Regions from separate parts of the Mus musculus genome. Here region 1 is reported to be linked to region 2. Evidence: microRNA targets listed by miRTarBase, many of them from high-throughput screens and not tested one by one. Region 2 holds a microRNA gene; the other region holds the end of a gene's coding sequence.

The links. The annotated mature microRNA mmu-miR-351-5p reads UCCCUGAGGAGCCCUUUGAGCCUG and lies in region 2 at 1,443-1,466, shown strand. An mRNA with a match to its seed (bases 2 to 7 or 8) in the 3' UTR can be bound and repressed. Matches are read on the target gene's strand: a 7mer-m8 pairs with bases 2 to 8, a 7mer-A1 pairs with bases 2 to 7 and ends in A, and an 8mer does both.
Region 1: the mRNA of Jmy is a reported target of mmu-miR-351-5p. The part of its 3' UTR that is shown has no 7-base or 8-base seed match.

The regions. Positions count from the first base shown.
Region 1 is chr13:93,434,827-93,440,210 of GRCm38, reverse strand. Jmy (junction-mediating and regulatory protein) reads left to right here. Exons shown (of 11, transcript NM_021310.3): 10 at 462-772; 11 at 4,792-5,384. The coding sequence ends at 769. Among named protein-coding and RNA genes, the nearest start is that of Gm6109, 11 kb to the left of the region's middle.
Region 2 is chrX:53,049,397-53,054,780 of GRCm38, reverse strand. It overlaps Mir351 (microRNA 351), which reads left to right and starts at 1,428; the gene lies at 1,428-1,526. It overlaps C430049B03Rik (RIKEN cDNA C430049B03 gene), which reads left to right. Exons shown (of 4, transcript NR_038185.1): 4 at 1-1,669. Mir503 (microRNA 503) reads left to right here and starts at 727; the gene lies at 727-797. Mir322 (microRNA 322) reads left to right here and starts at 432; the gene lies at 432-526. It also overlaps Mir542.

The sequences.
Region 1 (5,384 bases), not on the chromosome of region 2:
GGGACGGATGAGGGTCAGTCGACTTTTAAGATTGTTTTCAGTTCTTGTCTGCCTTACTTATTGAGAGTTTGCCTGTGAACCTGGAGCTTACCGTTTCAGATTGACTGCCTAGCCAATAACCCTGCCCCAGCCTATCAGCCTCTGCCATGTCCTTGCATCTCCCAGGAGCTGGGGTTATAGCACTGTGTGCACAACTCTGTCCAGCTTTTATATGGATTCTGGGGTTTCTGAACTTGGGGACAGCAAGGACCTTACCCACTGAGGCATCTTCCAATATTAAATTTAAAAAACAATAAGAGAAAGAAATATGTAATCAATCATTGTCTTACTTTGGATTGGTTTGTGGGTACAAAGAGGTCTCACATGTCAAGACCTGTCCTAGTCACCGTGCATTGGAGGTCACACAGATTGACTTTTAAGAGCAATAATTCTTACTGATTGTTTTATTTTGTTTTCCAAAGTGAGTTCACCCATGGATGAAGTGTTAGCATCCTTGAAGCGTGGTAGCTTTCATCTGAAAAAGGTTGAACAGCGGACTCTGCCTCCTTTTCCTGATGAAGATGATAGTAATAATATTTTGGCGCAGATAAGGAAAGGGGTAAAGTTGAAGAAGGTTCAGAAGGAAGTTTTGAGAGAATCCTTCACACTTCTGCCTGATACCGACCCTTTGACACGGAGTATCCACGAAGCTCTAAGAAGAATCAAAGAAGCGTCCCCAGAGTCAGAGGATGAGGAAGAGGCTTTGCCGTGCACAGACTGGGAGAACTAGCAGGTACATGAGCCTTACTTAGCCTTTAGCAGCCGGCTTTAACGGCTTTGACTTCGCTGGTGAGCTCCAGCATTTGTTGTGGAGTCTGTACCATGTGCGTCGTGTATGGCTTCATTGTAGAGCATGGATAATAGATGTGTGAATTCCAATTTTTAACTCAAAAATATTCAGTTCAGTGTCTGTTTTTTAAATCTTGCCCCTTTATACAACAGTCCCCCTTGCAACTAATCATGTGTATTTCTAGTGTATTACTGTTGCAGTTGTTTTCTCTCCTCTATTTGCCTTTTAAGTTAGGGCTTCTGTATCCAGGCTAGTCTGGAACTCCTTGTGATTTTCTTGCCATCATGGTATGCATTACATAGTATGGCTGGCAAAGTATTTTATTTCTCTTTTTCAGTGTGTGTGTGTGTGTGTGTGTGTGTGTGTGTTGGTGGGTAGTATATATTCAGTACCCTGAGAGACCAGAAAAGCCCATTGGGTCCTTAGAGATACAGTTACAGGCAGTTGTGAGCCCTCTGACATATAGTCTAGGTATCTTTTTCAGGTCTTCTTGCAGGGTTTCAAGAGCACTGAATCATTAAGCCATTTCTCCAACTCTGGAAAGCACCTTTAAAAGACTTCTAGCTGTGTGTTTTTTCTATCTTGCTCGTTAAAAATATCTACAGTGTAGTTATATTCCAAGTAAAGAGATATAGTCTTATTTTTAACTTGACCAGAAAAGCCTTTTTAACTGAATTACTTAAGTTAGGCTTACTGAATTTTGATCCTTTCTTAGCTGCCCATAAGGGAGTTTTCTCAGTCTAGAAAATTACTAAGTTGTCTGGTTATATAGCTTTCTAAATATTGAAAACTATTCAGCCATTCTTCATTGTCTATAATAAACATTATAGCTACATTGATAAATAAGTTATAAACAACTTGAATCCTGTGTACAGTATAATTGTTTACACACATGCATTGTAATTCTTGCAATCTGCTGCTTGCTTGCGCACCCCTGCAGGGTACCCCCCTCCCCACCAAATGGGATCTCATCTTGTAGCTTTAGCTGGTCTGGCCACTAGATATATAGATCAGGCTAGTCTTTGCCTCCCTTCTCATCTGCCTTGGTCTTTGTGAGTTGTGACATTAAAGGTTATTAGCACAAATTACACTACATTAAAAGAATAGTGATTATGGCATATGTCATAAGTTAGTTACATAGTTAAAGGATTGAGGACTTTGAGGACAGCGTTTATTATGTATCCAAACTCCATCTCAAAACAAAAACAGACAAGCAAACCCCAAAGAGAGAGGGAGCACTCTTTCTAGAGGGGATATAGACAAGACAGCTTTTTTTTTTTTTTACCCTGGGTGTGGTGGCACACACCTTTAATCTCAGGCATTTAGAGACAGAGGAAGCATCCCTGAGTTCAGTCCAGCATGGTCTACATAGTCATCTCCAGGACAGCAAAGACTACAGACAGATCTTGTCTCATGGGGCTTGGGGGGAAAGCTTCATTTTTAAAATAAATTTTAGCAGGGATGTATACAGGGTCATCTTAGGATGAGAGGGTGTGTACCGTGGTCCTTGACTATGTAGGAGTCTATGAACTAGCCTTAGGCACTTGTTAAGTGTGGATTCCTGTCTCTGACTCCAAATCTAAGTGGATTTTTAATGTATATGCAAGTGCACATGGATTTCTAAAACTTGGTGCAATAAAATATGAAGTATTCAAACAAAGCATTACTCCTAAAAGGATTGTTACCTGTTACTTTAGGACCTAGAGGTGCATTCGGAAAACACCTTTCCCTGCACCGTGCCCCTCAAGCTCACACACAGGCTAACATCACACTCTCTCCGGCATGTGGTTGAGCATTGCCTTCCCCCCGTGTTTCCCTTTATTGCTGTTGTGTGCAGAGGCCCTGATTTCAACTGTTTTGCTCACATATGTGTATATTATACTGTACTTTATAAAAAAGACTGGCATTTATTTTCTTAAGAAACATAGAGGAGTATACAGACCTCAGTGTTTCTCATTAGTGTGTTGATATTCAGAGGCTCGGGTTGTCTTCCTAGAGTCTCTTCCATAGTAGATATTCATGTATCACCTCCCTCTTTATTGTTCTTGCTCCTGCTATGTCTCCTGTGGCTTCTCTTGCTGCTTACACGTGTATCTCAGCCAGTCACCACTGCTCGCTCGCTATCCTTAGTTCTTTTGCTACGGCAGCTTCTGCCAGCATTTCCATGCTTGTCTTCTCCCATCTCACCAGGTCTTGGCTGACACGTAAGGCAGGGCCTCAGCATCTGTATATTTCAGCTGAGGTGATTTACATGTCTGGCCATGAGTGTCAGGACACTGTGTGAGGGACTGCAAGGGGCTGGTAGTTCTTAAAGTATTGAAACAATCAGCAGATGTGTGATCTATACACCTTTGAAAGTTTTAGAGTTCCTTTTGAAAGATGAATGTTGCTCTGCCTCATCCTACTGTAAGGCTTCCCAGAGATAGCCATGGCTAACAGTGTCCTGAAGTAGCTTCATGAGACAGAATTATAATTTATGACAAGGTTCTGATTTGTCTCATGTAGGGTCTTTCTCAAATTTCATCTTTTTTTAAAAAGATTTATTTATTATTATATGTAAGTACATTGTAGTACATTCAGACACACCAGAAGATGGCATCAAATCTCATTACCGATGGTGTGAGCCACCATGTGGTTGCTGGGATTTGAACTTAGGACCTTTGGAAGAGCAGTCAGTGCTCTTACCCGCTAAGCCATCTCTCCAGCCCTTTCTCAAACTTCTAAGTATAACTGTGAAAAGAAAATGGGGCACATATATCATTCTAAGAAAGCTGCAGAAAAGGGAACACAAGAAATTTATCCTAATAATGTTTATCTGACAGGGGCTACAACAATACCTTTCAGTATGCAGGTGACATAACATTTTGAATAGTTACCCCTCTGCACTTAGCCTTTTAGATTTAAGGCCCCAAAACCCAGGTTTTGATTCAGATGCTGTTTTTATGTTGTAATTCCTGCTAGCACATCTCAGTGAAGTATCCTATCAAAACAAAAATATACTTATTGGAAAAATATGAGCCTTATAGTCTAAAATTGGTTAGCTTCTGAGTCACACAAGCTATGTTTCAGATACTCAGTGCCCATGTATAACTTCAGAAACATGTTTCTTGTTGGTGTATATTTAAAGAATGGTTTTTATCTAAACTTCCTCTAATAGGCCAGTTGATAAAACCTATCTGCCTGTATTGAAGTTTAAAGACACCCATTTAATGGGTGTTACTTTCCTAAGAGGAGCAGAAACAAAAGGGAATCCAACACTCTCAATAGTGACCAACATTATGAACTAACCAGTACCCCGGAGCTCTTGACTCTAGCTGCATATGTATCAAAAGATGGCCTAGTCGGCCATCACTGAAAAGAGAGGCCCATTGGACACGCAAACTTTATATGCCCCAGTACAGGGGAACGCCAGGGCCAAAAAGGGGGAGTGGGTGGGTAGGGGAGTGGGGGTGGGTGGGTATGGGGTACTTTTGGTATAGCATTGGAAATGTAAAGGAGCTAAATACCTAATAAAAAATGGAAAAAAAAAATAGTGACCAAAATCTATATGAAATGACTTTTATTCTTACTACTTTAAGAATACAAACATCATGGGGCTGGAGAGGTGGCTCAACTGTTAAGATCATCGCCTGCTTTCCCAGAGGCCCTGTATATAATTCACAGTACCGACATGGCAGCTCAGTAGGTAACTTCAGTCACAGGGGATCTGACATCCTCTTGTGGCCTCCACAGGCACTGAATGCACATGGTACCTAGACATACTCAGGCAAACACTCATACACATAAAATAACATCTAACTTAAAAATTATAAACATTTTATTTAAAGGAAACCCTATACCATTACCACATAGGTGACTATTAAAACAAGTGTGCATTGAAGGTATTTCCAAGAGTGGGAGGGAACTGACTTATGTCCTACAGGCATTTTGTTCTAATATTGTATCATTTTGTTTGCAAACAGGTGACTTAAGAGAGAAGAAAAATACCCATGGATGAAGACTGGCTCTGGTTCCTTTGGGGAAAAAATCTAAGCTCTTGGTCCCACAATTGGATTCCATTATGTCCTGAGTATATTGACAAAGTGGTTTGAAAAAGGAAGCACAAACGGGAGGTTACTACTGTCCAGTCCCTCTCATTGATAGTGCAATGTTCCCGACTGCAGAGAGAACAAGCCTCCTGGAGACGGCTGTTCCTTCCCCACCCCTCCTCCCCATCTGCCCAATCATAATCTCATAGTGGCCAGTCCCATTGCTATGAATTGGAAGAACACTGGGTTGGCAGAGGTCTGCTGTACGAGCTACTTTGGGATTCATCTTTCAGTGAACTGAGAAGATCTGTGCTGAAGCACAGCCGCTTCCATGTCAGCTTGTAGAGACAGAGAGACATGCTACAGAAGACATTGATCAAGGTAGTTATGGTCAGGAATTAAAAAAAAACCATGAAATGCACTTAAAATTTCCACATTATTCATCTCCAGAGAAGTTCAGTATCTGAGAAGCCAGTGGAGATATACCTATCAATGTGTGCACCAGAACACGACACATTTAACAAGGC
Region 2 (5,384 bases):
TTGTCCTTAAAAATAACTAATGACGAGGTGATTACTGTAAGAACGGAGGAAACTACTAGACAAGTCTATTCCATGCCTATAGTATTCAGTAAAACCAACTGGGACTACCCAGAGGGATTTTTTTTTGATTATCAAAAGTTCCTTGCACCAATTTCCAATAAATGATCAAAACCCGGGGACAATAAATGAGACTTATACAAGGTAGCAGGAAGTTTCACCAAGACTTTGGAGCTGGCAAGAGTGATCCAGATGTTACCAAATTGTCTCAGTTTATTTAATCCCACTTTTCATCTACTTTCTGAGGTAAGAGTCTCCTCCTCCCCACTATCCACCACACCCTGCTTTCCAACAGTACACCCTTTGCCTCACCAGCAGATCCTGGAAATCACAGAGACTTTCTTCCTTCGCAGGTACCCCAGAGCGGCCCCCACCCTCGTTGACTCCGAAGGGCTGCAGCAGCAATTCATGTTTTGGAGTATTGCCAAGGTTCAAAACATGAAGCGCTGCAACACCCCTTCGTGGGGAATGTAGAAGGTGGGGACCTGCTGAACAGACCTGTGTGGGTTCTACTAAAAGCCCTAAAGCAGGTAGGTGGGAGGGCAGGGGCTTAGTCTAGTGAGGGTCACTCTACACAGTCCAAGGGCCTGGGTGGGTGTGAATAGCAAGGTGGCAATTCACTTGAAGAAGGGACAAGGCATCCTGTACTCAGCCCATCCCACTCAGTCGTGCCCTAGCAGCGGGAACAGTACTGCAGTGAGTGTTTGGTGCCCTGGAGTATTGTTTCCACTGCCTGGGTAAGTCTGGGTCTTCCACATGGGCACACCCACCAGGTAAGTTTCGGTTAGCCTGCAGCATAGGCCCCATGGGAGGGAGACTCTAGAACAGCTCCCAACTAGAGTTGCTGATCTGTGACTCTGACTGGGTGTGACTGAAAGTGTGTTGTTAGCGCCTCACTTGCTGCTCAGGTAAAAGTGAATCAACTGGGAAAAAAAAAAAGCACTTCCTGGTCATCAAGTAGTATACCACCCACAAGAGCGAAACAAGAAAATTTGTCCTAAGTCCTCAACAACAAAATGGAGAAGGGGTCCTTCCAAAAGGAATAAGAAGGGTTCTGAAGGGCAGGAAGGATGACTTGAGAAAGTCCCCATTTCTCTTTGCAGTTTAGGAAAGATTAAGGGGTCCGTGGGAGTGTCCCTGGATCTCTTCGTGTCTTGCTGGTGCGGACCCCCAGGTGGTACAATGAGAGGCAATGGCCCAACAGGAAGCCTCAGTGAGGCTCTGCATTTCTAGTCCCCATTTATCCCCCTTTCCCAAAGTCATCACACAATTCTACATGGCAGTGGGGACATGGGGACACCCTTGTCACTGCCTAGAAGTCTCTGAGAAAATGGCTGCTTTGTGACATCCCAAACTCTGCTGTGATTAATCATGGCACCTCCGTTTCCCTGAGGAGCCCTTTGAGCCTGGAGTGAAAAAAAAAAACAGGTCAAGAGGCGCCTGGGAACTGGAGAAGAGTGTTAAACTTCTGGAGCAAGACTGTACTTTTCCTGTGAAAATCACTTTCCATAATCTGGAGTATAGGCATGTAAAGGACTGTTGGAAAACGGAGTGTGGGTGAAATCGTGCTGCTTTGTCTTATTAAAAAGAAATAAAATACATGTACACACACCCTTCTGGTCTGTATGAACTGCTTGTCATCTTCCCCAGGGACTGGGTGCAGGCCCCCATAAAAGGTACAGTTAGAGGAGGCCTTGTGAGCCTGGGAGTCTAGCTCTAGCCACCAAATGCCTTTCTCCCAGACTCCTTTGCGTTTGAACAAGGTGTGGGAGGTGGTTTGGGTCCCGTTGGGCCCCCAAGGACCCCCTGGCTCCCAGGAGCACTGAAACCCCTTGGAACTTAAGCCACGCCTTGCCCCCATCTCCTTGGCTTCTTGAAGCCACGCCCCCCAGCTCCTGCCTCACCCCTCCCCTTGGCAGGGCCCCTCTGGCCCGGAATCCCCAAGACAAATGGCTAACAGGTTCAGGCGCCCCGCGTTCCTATGCGCAGGGTTGGAGGAGGGGCACTTTGAGACTTCCTATTCTCCCTCACCAACTTCCCTTCTCCATCTCCACTGTTCAACAGGGCTTTGCCTTATGCCAGAGGAAGAGCGCCGGGGCTCACTGAAGGCCCCCACTCACCCAGAAGAATCTGGCCTGCGCCATCTGGCTGCTTCCAGTGGGTGCCTGCAAGATTCAAGTGAGATTCAGGTGGGTTGGGGACTTTAGAGCAGAGGAGCAAATGATCCAGGTTTAAGGCCACTGACTAAGAATCTAAGATGCCATTAGCCCAAGGTGCCCAAGGGCGCCAAAATTGAGCTCATCCACATAGCACCTGGCTGCGTGGTGCCCTTTTTTGATTTGAAATGCTCTTCGCACCTTTATTTGCCTAGTCGAAGTTATGATGTGCTTCGATTTTCTTCCAAGGGCAAAATGTGAATAAAGCAATATTTTAGCCAAACACTTCTATGTCAATTAAGAAGATGGCAATTCGTTCCAGATTATAAATTCCCTTTAACAACTCCCTAAGGTATTCTTTTAAATTGTTTTTCAAACATTGCTAAATGTGCATGATAATGTGTGGGAGACTTGTATAAAGTGATTCAATTTATGGTCGGCTGATTAATTGATCCTCCATTACCACATTCAAAGAGGCACCTCTCCATTGTTTTCTCCGTTTTTTTTCCCCCAACACATGTTATTTGTTAGTGAGGAAGCTGTGTGCACGTGGCATTGTAAAAGGTTACTAGACAGACATGGCTCTTAAAACTATGAAAAGCTTAGCCTGGCTCTAAATCTAAACTCTGACATTTCTGTAAGTTGTAGGACAAGATATTCAGGTTATTGTGATACACTAGAATTGAACATAATTTTGTAACAATTTTAATAACAGGAATACTTCTGAAGGCATCTTCTGCTAGCCATATTGGTTTGGTTTGGTTTGGTTTTCCAACAAGGGAACACTACATCAACAATCTTGGGGATGTGGACACAGAAGACTCCTGTTCCAAGAAAGTACAATCATCTTTCAAAAACTGTAATTTATATGCGTTTTACCACACTAGATATTGAAAACCACCCAACTAGGGGGGTACAGTATATAACCAGTCACTAGTGTAATATTGTATACCTTTTTAAAATGTTATTGGAAAGTGTTTTATGATCTGTAAGTCAAATAATCCGGCCCCACCGTTTTCATTTTTCCTGCTATTCCCCCAAATCTAGGCTCCTTTGTTCCAGTTGGCATGTAAACTTGTTTTTTCCACCAAATGAGTCAGTCCTGATAGAAGCGTCAATTGATTTGAACAGATGTGTGTCAATGTTACTTGGAAAAACTAGATGCCAATAACCAGGGCCACAGAAAAAGTCAGCAAATGTAATTGTGTAAAGCATTTATGCATGCACGCAGACAAGGAGAAAAGTTGAATCCTAAACAGGAAAACATTTGGATACACTCCAGTGCTGGGAGACCAAATAATTCTGTGTTGCTTTTGATGTCCAGTAACATGGGCAACTGTCCAATTAAACAAACACCCAAGAAGGACTCTGCAATGCCCATTATTTTACTGATTATTCTAAAGCACCATACCTGTCAATCCATTGAGGAGGAGGGAACAGCAAGGGAAACATGATGAATCTACACGACATAAATTAATTAATAGGCAGATTTCCTGAGAGACGGTGCAGATTAAAAAAAAAATACAAATAGGTTCAAAAAGTATGCTTCAGGAAGATCAATGAATATATATTGATAGAGATCAAAAGACTTGAGCTGTGGGCATTACCAAGTTAACATTAATTTCTAGAGATCTATTTTCCCGTTGTCCAGAAGCATTTCTCATGATGCCAGAAACTTATACGTTCATCTTTATGTAGAGTTATTGTATGCCTCTTAAAACGAAACACAGTATGTATACACCAATCATAGCAAATCTGTATCTCCGAGGCCCAGTTCAGCCTGCCTTATGCCCATCCATTGAGCTAGGATCTCCTGGCTCTGTCCTAATATTTCACTCATCTGTTTCCTGCACTGGGTCCACAATTGATATCCTCCTCAAGTTTAAAGGGGCTTAGAGCCTTGTGGGAGGAGCCTCTAACGATTTCCATTTCCTGTGGTCCCTCAGCCTTGGAGCACTCCCCTTTACTCTTGAGCTCTGTCTTCGGAGCAAGTGGTGAAAATTGAAAAGCGTGCCCCCCTCCCGCCCCCTCCGCCGCACTCCCCCCCTCCCGCTCCCCTCCCCAGCTCCAAGTCGGGGGCATTGTTGGGGGCTGGGAATACTGCTTGCTTTGCAGCCTGACTCCTTCCTTCGGGTCTTTTGCTACCCCTCCCCCACCTCCACTCTGCAGAGTGAAGGCAGAATGTTTGTGCCCTAGAAACCAAATCTTTACAATCCTCATCTCAGCACTTGCCTTCATTTCCTCTGTTCACTTACGGCCCCAACTGCTTTCATAGATTTGTTGTTTACAACTTTGAGAGATAAGTAAGGCAGACAAAGTTTCGAGAGACCTGAGGATTCTGAAGATGAAACCTGGGAAACTGCATCATGCAGACTTCATGCTGTGCCAGGTAACATTCCTGCCTGGCCATCAGAAGCTTACACCATAGTGATTAGGACAGAAAATGGAGCTGAACTAGTGTGTTTGGTTAGAAAAGGTCTAGTTGAAACTGTCTAGTCCTAAGAAGGACGAGTGAGAGTCTAACTGCTGGACACTTCCTAACTGAGGCTCAAGATTGACTTCATGATTAAGTAATGACTGTAAGTCACCTACCCATGCATGATTCAATGTGTACAAGCTTAAAAATTGTAAAGTGAATTCACTTTAAAGCTTTGATCCTTTCTATAGACTCAAGTAAATTAAGGGAGCAAATATGAACTAACCATAGAGATTAATTTAGTGGCATCCTCAAAAGAACGTTTTTAGTCATTGTGAATAATCATAAAAACTACCTAGAAACTTAGAAACATTCTTAAGATAACAAGCTTTTAAAAATCAAGGCCACAGAATTACACTAACTCTGGTGGCTGAAAGTAGAGTAGAAACTGGAAAGAAACTGCAAAACAAAGAGACTTTTTAAAAACAGAATTTGTAGTAGGTTGGTTAGCTGCTTATTTGTTTTGTTTTTTTTTCCCCATCTTCACAGTTTTGCTGTTTCTTTGTTTTGTTGTGCTTTGATTTGTGTCCCATTGTGAAATGCTACTCGCTAAAAGGTCTTTAAGGGTACTGGGAGATCCAGAAATTTGAGGTTACACATGCAGGGATCTCAGACGTCTCGGGGATCATCATGTCACGAGATACCACTGTGCCCTTGTGACAGATTGATAACTGAAAGGTCTGGGAGCCACTCCT